Linked DNA regions of Macaca mulatta. The protein of the gene in region 2 purifies or fractionates together with the protein of the main gene of each other region. This does not show direct contact. Links are inferred from orthologs where the notes say so. Each region holds a gene or a part of one and is shown on either strand. Other genes may lie near its edges. The genes, in order: RAC1 and IQGAP2.

Region 1 (3,818 bases), on a different chromosome or scaffold from region 2:
AGTATATGAGTTATAGAATGACACTCTCAGAAATAAATACTTTATAAAGTATAATAATAAATAAATTTTAAAAAAAAGAAATAAATACTTTAAAATATCACTTAGCCTAGGAATTTTCAGTTATTTAAATTGGTTATAGGAATTTGCTACTTAAGTACATGATTGGGTTTTTTATTCTTTTGAGACAGGGGTCTCACCCTGTTGTCCAGGCTGGAGTGTGGTGGTGACATCGGAGCTCACTGTAGCCTTGAGCTCCTGGGCTCAAACAGTTCTCCTGCAGTTCTCCTGCCTCCGTTCCTGTGTTGCTGGGACAGTAAACGTGCGCCGCTGTGCCTGGCTAATCTTTAAAAATTTTTTGTAGCGCTGGTTTTGTACACCCTGGCTGGTCTCAAACTCCTGGGCTGAAGTGATCCTTCCACTTCAGCCTCCCAAAGTGCTGGGATTATGGGTGTGAGCCACTGCGCCTGAGCCATCAGCAGTTTATTTTTATTTATTTATTTTTGAGATGGAGTCTTGCACTGTCACCCAGGCTGGAGTGCAGTGGCACGATCTTGGCTCACTGCAACCTCCACCTCCCGGTTCAAGCGATTCTCCTGTCTCAGCCTCCTGAGTAGCTGGGATTACAGGCGCCCGCCACCACACCTGGCTAATTTTTGTACTTTTAGTAGAGACGGGGTTTCACCATGTTTCCCAGACTGGTCTCAAACCGCTGGCCTCAAGTGACCCACCCACCTCAAACTCCCAAAGTGCTGGGATTTCAGATGTGAGCCACTGTGCCTGGCCTAATATGTGGATTTTTAAAGCTTCAGGTTCTGGTTCAGAAGTTTCCTGGACCTCATTAAAATAATGAGGCACTCAGAATTGGTCTAATAAAACTAACCACCATTTCTTTCTACTCCAGTCTCTTTCACAAACTTCTTAGTGAAAATGACGAGACAGGCCCTTCAGTAGGGACATTTTCAGTGGGGATAATGGCGGCAGACCTGAGACCTTGGGCTAGGTAGTTTATTCTCGTTTCTGAACAGATGATGAATTTTCTCAGATGACCCTAAGAACTTGTTTTACCAAAAACAAAGTGGTTTATTTGCTTTGGGAGGAACTCTCTTCCCTTCCGCCTCTTCCCTTGCGGTTGTAGAGCCCATTCTCTCTGGTCGTGGTTCTGTCCGGCCATGATCCAGAGTCCTAGCTTGCTCATGGAACACCTGAGATGTTTCTTATGGCTCAAGGCTCAGATTGAAGGTGGGAACCACATGAAGGCTCGGTGGGGAGGCTGTGCCTGAGGTTAGGTGTCTGGCACAAGTGCCGCCGGCTGGGTGTGATTTAGGTGAAGGGCGTCTGTAAAGGAGCACATCACAACCTCTGTTCCTTCTTCACATCTAGTGGTATCCTGAGGTGCGGCACCACTGTCCCAACACTCCCATCATCCTAGTGGGAACTAAACTTGATCTTAGGGATGATAAAGACACGATCGAGAAACTGAAGGAGAAGAAGCTGACTCCCATCACCTATCCACAGGGTCTAGCCATGGCTAAGGAGATTGGTATGGAATCCTGCGTTTTTCCTCTGCCTTGTACCTCTTTTATTGTAGTGACAGAGACTGGAGTCCAGTCTGGGAAAGGAGGGTGTGTGTCTCCCACTCAGGGCCTGGTTGTACTCTTGGGGAACCAGCTGGCATCGCCTTCTGGGTCTTAATGTCAGCGTTGGAAGGTGGACGCAGGGCTGGGAGCCGGCAGAAAGTGCCCAGGCCCCCGGAGCTGCCTCCCGCCGGTGTTGTGATCAGAAGAGAGTGGGCTCAAGTGTACACTGCTGTGTGGTTGTGTTTTCCTGTAGGTGCTGTGAAATACCTGGAGTGCTCGGCGCTCACACAGCGAGGCCTCAAGACAGTGTTTGACGAAGCGATCCGAGCAGTCCTCTGCCCACCTCCCGTGAAGAAGAGGAAGAGAAAATGCCTGCTGTTGTAAACGTCTGAGCCCCTCGTTCTTGGTCCTGTCCCTTGGAACCTTTGTACGCTTTGCTCAAAAAAAAAAAAAAAAACGGTGGAGCCTTCGCACTCAATGCCAACTTTTTGTTACAGATTGATTTTTCCATAAAACCATTTTGAACCAATCAGTAATTTGAAGGTTTTTGTTTGTTCTAAATGTAAGAGTTCAGACTCACATTCTATTAAAATTTAGCCCTAAAATGACAAACCTTCTTAAAGCCTTATTTTTCAAAAGCCCACCCTATTCTTGCTCAGATTAAGAGTTGCCAAAATACCTTCTGAACTACACTGCATTGTTGTGCTAAGAACACCAAGCACTAAACTGTGTAAGGACCTTCGTCTTTGAGAAGACTGTAGCCTCTGCAGTTAGGAGATGCAGACACTTGCTCAGTAGTTCTCAGATGTGTAAAGCAGAACAGCCTCCCGAATGGTGCGTTGCCATTGAACTCACCAGTGATTTAGCGGCCCATGTTCACGACATAACATTGTACTGTAATGGAGTGAGTGTAACAGCTCAGCTCTTTGGATCAGTCTTTTTGATTTCATAGTGAGTTTTCTGACCAGCTCTTGCGGAGATTTTGAACAGAACTCGTGTTTCCTCTAATGAAGAATTCTGTTTAGCTGTGGGTGTGCCGGGTGGGGTGTGTGTGATCAAAGGACAAAGACAGTATTTTGACAAAATACGAAGTGGAGATTTACACTACATTGTACAAGGAACAAAAGTGTCACGGGTAAAAACTCTAAAAGGTTAATTTCTGTCAAATGCAGTAGATGATGAAAGAAAGGTTGGTATTATCAGGAAATGTTCTTAAGCTTTTCCTTTCTCTTACACCTGCCATCCCTCCCCAAATTGGGCATTTAATTCATCTTTAAACTGGTCGTTCCCTTAGTCGCTAACTTAGTAAGTGCTTTTCTTATAGGACCCCTTCTTACTGAGCAATATGCCTCCTTGTATTATAAAATCTTTCTGATAATGCATTAGAAGGTTTTTTTGTAGATGAGTAAAAGTGCTTTCCATGTTACTTTATTCAAAGCTAATAAGTGCTTTCCTTAGTTTTCTAGTAACTAGGTGTAAAAATCATGTGTTGCAGCTTTATAGTTTTTAAAATATTTTAGATAATTCTTAAACTATGAACCTTCTTAACATCACTGTCTTGCCAGATTACTGACACTGTCACTTGACCAATACTGACCCTCTTTACCTCGCCCACGCAGACACACGCCTCCTGTAGTCGCTTTGCCTAATGATGTTCCTTTGGGTCTGTGAGGTTCTGTAAACTGTGCTAGTGCTGACAATGTTCTGTACAACTTAACTCACCGGCAAGAATACAACGCGGAACCTTTCAGCCACGACAACAGGATTTTTTAAATTGACAGTTGCAGAATTGTGGAGTGTTTTTACATTGATCTTTTGCTAATGCAGTTAGCATTATGTTTTGCATGTATGACTTAATAAATCCTTGAATCATACAACTGGTAATACTGGTGTTTTTGAGACTTGATGAACAAGTTCCTGGTGTGCGTTTGTTTGCCTCGCTTTAAAGTCCCGGGTTGTTGGAGACAGTCATTTTCAATGCATGTCTCCACACAGGAGGGACAGAGGGAGTGCCACCTCCAGGGGAGAACTGGGTGAGCCCAAACAATACGGCAGGAGTGGAGGTGACGTTCACGTTTGGACCTGTCGAACAGCGGCGAAGCTCTGGTGGAGAAACGTGCGTCGGGGGCTGTGCACATCCTGGCCCAGAGCTTGGGGCTGAAGATGCAGACGTTGGGACCCTAGACTGGCCATGGAAGAGTAGAGGTTGGTGAACCCCACACACCCTTAAGGTCCTTTCCA
Region 2 (3,818 bases):
TGAGTCAGTCAATTGTCTCGTACAATGAAATGGGAAGACCAATAGTCTCTTTTTATTACTGTTTCCTTTTACAGACTATCCAAAGAGTGTTCCTTCATTTATTCATTTACTCATCGTTTGTTTGGGAACTTATGATATGCTATCTTATTCCCTTTGCTCAAAGAAACTTTGCAGGTTTTTCAGAGTTGCTGGTTTGTGATTCCCTTATAAGAATAAAGCTCTCTGACTGCCTCTGTTGGTTTAGTTCAGGACTCTCCATAAACATGGCTGATGTGTGAGAGTTTAGCTGGGTTCTGAACATTCAGGGTTCTCATAGCCACATTTCAATAGATAATCTAGTTTTAGTTTCCTCAGCTAGACTATCCAGGAATCGAAATCCTTCCATCTGGGGAATTACAAAGTAGCAGTTATCCATTAAAATATGTCCGTTACTATGGTGATTTGTCACTTTGGCAATAAAGCAGCTATTGATAATTGTTCCCAAATAAGGCTTGCTCTCAAAAAGATGAAGTAATTCCTTTCAAACTTCAAATCTCAGGAAGAACATGTTCTGGTTCTAGTCTTTGAACTTTGGCTGGAGGACTACTTTCATTTTGACATTAACTTGCATTGTGTAGCTTATGAACTGTGAAATTAGGGGATCAGAGAAAAATCAGCACCTTGATATTCTCTTTTCAGGAGGCAGACCATGCCACGGACATGGTGAGCCGTGCAATGATAGATTCCAGGACTCCAGAAGAAATGAAGCATAGCCAATCTATGATTGAAGATGCACAGCTGCCTCTTGAGCAGAAGAAGAGGAAAATCCAGAGGAATCTTCGGACATTGGAACAGACTGGACACGTGTCATCCAAAAATAAATACCAAGACATTCTCAATGAGATTGCCAAGGTTTTTGGAAACAGTATTCTTTCTTCTTCACTTAGCAGACATTTGCTAATCACCAGTCAAGTGCTGGGCACTCTGTGAGGTGGCATTAGGGATTCATGGTTGCATATGCTGTGGTTACTGCACTCTTCAATGTTACAGATTTTTAAAGGTTTCAAAGCACTTGATGACTTTTTTTTTTTTTTTTTTTTTTTTTTTGAGGTGGAGTCTCACTCTGCTGCCCAGGCTGGAGTGCAGTGGCGTGATCTCAGCTCTCTATAACCTCTGCCTCCCAGGTTCAAGCGATTCTCCTACCTCAGTCTCCGAAATAGCTGGGACTACAGGCGCACACCACCTCGCCTGGCTAATTTTTGTATTTTTAGTAGAGACAGGATTCCATCATGCTGGCCAGGCTGGTCTCGAAATCCTGACCTGGTGATCTGCCCGCCTCGGCCTCCCAAGCAGTTGATGACTTTTAAGAGAAAATAATCACAACACTTTGAAGTCATTAGGAGAGTTGAAACAGACCAGAAATAAATACTAAAAAATGTACTTGACAAGTTTGGTCTATACCTTTAAGCTAGTTTTAAAAATAACATTATTTGGAAGAGTTTTCTCCTGAGATGTTAGTTGTCATATAGCTCAGTTGCCTTAGAACCTGCCACTGAGATGAACTCTGTGTCCCAGATCATTTGTTTTTAAGCAATTTAACCTAAATGCAGTTCAGACTTGAAGATTAGTTTCTGTTTTCTTATCCCATGTTTTTACACTTGAGAAACTTCCTGAGCAAAGCGTCTCAACTTAGTGCAATGAAACATCACAGGAAGTGGCTGAGATCTGTTTGTCAAGGATAAGGAAGTATATATTTGGGTTAGAAGGATATTTCATTCTTTTTATTCAAACATGCAAATTAATATGGATCTAGAGGTTAAAGGCGGTTAAATGACCAGAAAAAAAATAATAAATTTTCTCATGTTCTAGGAGGGAAATGCGCCCAGCTTTGTTCTTTGATAGAAAGTTATGTTCAATTCTGGCAGTAGGCTTATTCCTTCTAGCCCAAGTGACTCAAGGGCAATAGCATTTCTTTCTTTAGTTTTGGGGTAGAAATATTTCTATTTGGGAATATGGGGTAGATAAATATATGCTTTTGCTTTAAAAAAGAAAAAGGCTATCATGAAGACATGATATTCTATTTAATGAATATTCTATTATATGAAGAATTTCTATTTAATGAAGAATTCTATTTAACAAAGAATATTCTATTCTAATATTCTATTCATGAAGAATTTTTACCTAAGGGCATGGGGAAGTTGTGGGGGGAGTGTATGTGTATGTGGGTATTTGTTTGAATTCCTAGGGGAATGGTTTTTAATTTGTCTACAAAAGAAAAACAATATTAAACAGGCATCATTTTCTTAAGTCAAACACTTTCATAACTTACCAATTAGAATTACCAAAAAAACTTATATCTGCAAGTTTAAATTTAGCATAGCTCTTGTAAGCTATAAGCAGCTTATGCAACTTAATGTTCTAGGAATTCTATTTAAAGCCAAGTAATAGTTATCAATGTTGAATCTTTTCACTCAGTCTTGACAGGCTAGTGTTGTTTTTTCAAACCTTGAGAAATATTTGTCAGATGAAAAAGTTTGTTCTTTTCTTATTTTAAAAATCAATTTAACAATTAAATGTAAACCTTTTTAGTTTAAAGTACTATTCAAAGAGGAATATTCAAAATAGTCTGAAGAGGCCAGGCACAATGGCTCATGCCTATAATTCCAGCACTTTGGGAGGCCAAGGCAGGCAGATCACTTGAGGTCAGGAGTTCAAGACCAGCCTGGCCAACATGGTGAAACCCTGTCTCTACTAAAAATACAAAAATTAACCAGGCATGGTGGCGCAGGCCTGCAGCCCCAGCTGCACAGGAGGCTGAGGCAGGAGAATCACTTGAAGCCCAGGGCATAGGTTGCAGAGATCAGGCCACTGGACTCCAGCCTGGGTGACAGAGTAAGACTCCGTCTTAAAAAAAAAAAAAAAAAAAGTCTGAAGAAATTGCATTTCTGCTGCTTTGTGCCCCTTTTAAAACACAATTTTTCCTTAAACTAAATGTGTAGTTATTCTAAAATAACTTATTTGCCTTTCCATCAAGAAAAAAATTAATGTTAACAAGTCTCTTAAAGTGAAATATGTACACTTTCCCGTTCTGAAGTAAAAAGGGATGGGAACCCTGTGGTGGTGTTGAGAGTAAAATAAGGTACCTGAAATAAGCTACAAGTCAAGTTACAAATAGTGACTTACTACTGCTTGATATTCTTCTTGTCCCAAATTGGCAATATCATAAAGCAAGCTTCTGCTTAAATATGATAGCCCTTACTTGTTGTTTTAGGATATTCGAAATCAAAGAATCTATCGTAAGCTTCGAAAAGCTGAATTGGCAAAACTTCAGCAGACCCTGAATGCACTTAACAAGAAGGCAGCATTTTATGAAGAGCAAATCAATTATTATGACACCTACATAAAGACTTGTTTAGACAACTTAAAAAGAAAGTAAGTTAAAATCATGTCACGTTCATTCGTAATGTCATGATTTATGAGATGTCAGTTCTGCATTTCTATGTATTTGGGTTGGGTATGGAAGAAAACTTTTTGCTCTGTCTTATAACTGAAAACTGGAGTCTCAGTTTTATTATTTGCCACTGTGAACTAAGAAGTCAGGAGCAAATGGAAGCTTTTCAATTCCCCACCAGCACTAGAATTAAAGTGACTTACCTGTTGCATATTGAACAAATAGCATTAGTAGTTGGGGAAGCACTTTCATTGTTCCTTTTGTCTTTTTTAGTCAAAGATTTTTTAAAATACTATTATTTTTAAAATCTCTTGTTTTTGGACTATATTTTGTATAATTGATCATGTTAGTTAATGCCAGATGTTTACTAATTGCACAGAGCAGCTGA

The links.
Region 1: the proteins of IQGAP2 (region 2) and RAC1 purify together in Homo sapiens (affinity purification with mass spectrometry; 5 studies listed by BioGRID and IntAct, with this or other methods). This does not show direct contact. The link is inferred for Macaca mulatta from reciprocal best matches to the Homo sapiens genes IQGAP2 and RAC1.

What each region holds. Positions count from the first base shown.
Region 1 is NC_133408.1:44,608,724-44,612,541, reverse strand, and holds the end of RAC1 (ras-related C3 botulinum toxin substrate 1), read left to right. Parts: intron 1-1,380; coding exon 1,381-1,540; intron 1,541-1,830; coding exon 1,831-1,961; 3' UTR 1,962-3,451; downstream 3,452-3,818. UniProt on the Homo sapiens protein: Plasma membrane-associated small GTPase which cycles between active GTP-bound and inactive GDP-bound states.
Region 2 is NC_133411.1:83,058,662-83,062,479, forward strand, and holds part of IQGAP2 (ras GTPase-activating-like protein IQGAP2), read left to right. Parts: intron 1-678; coding exon 679-891; intron 892-3,250; coding exon 3,251-3,411; intron 3,412-3,818. UniProt on the Homo sapiens protein: Binds to activated CDC42 and RAC1 but does not seem to stimulate their GTPase activity. Associates with calmodulin.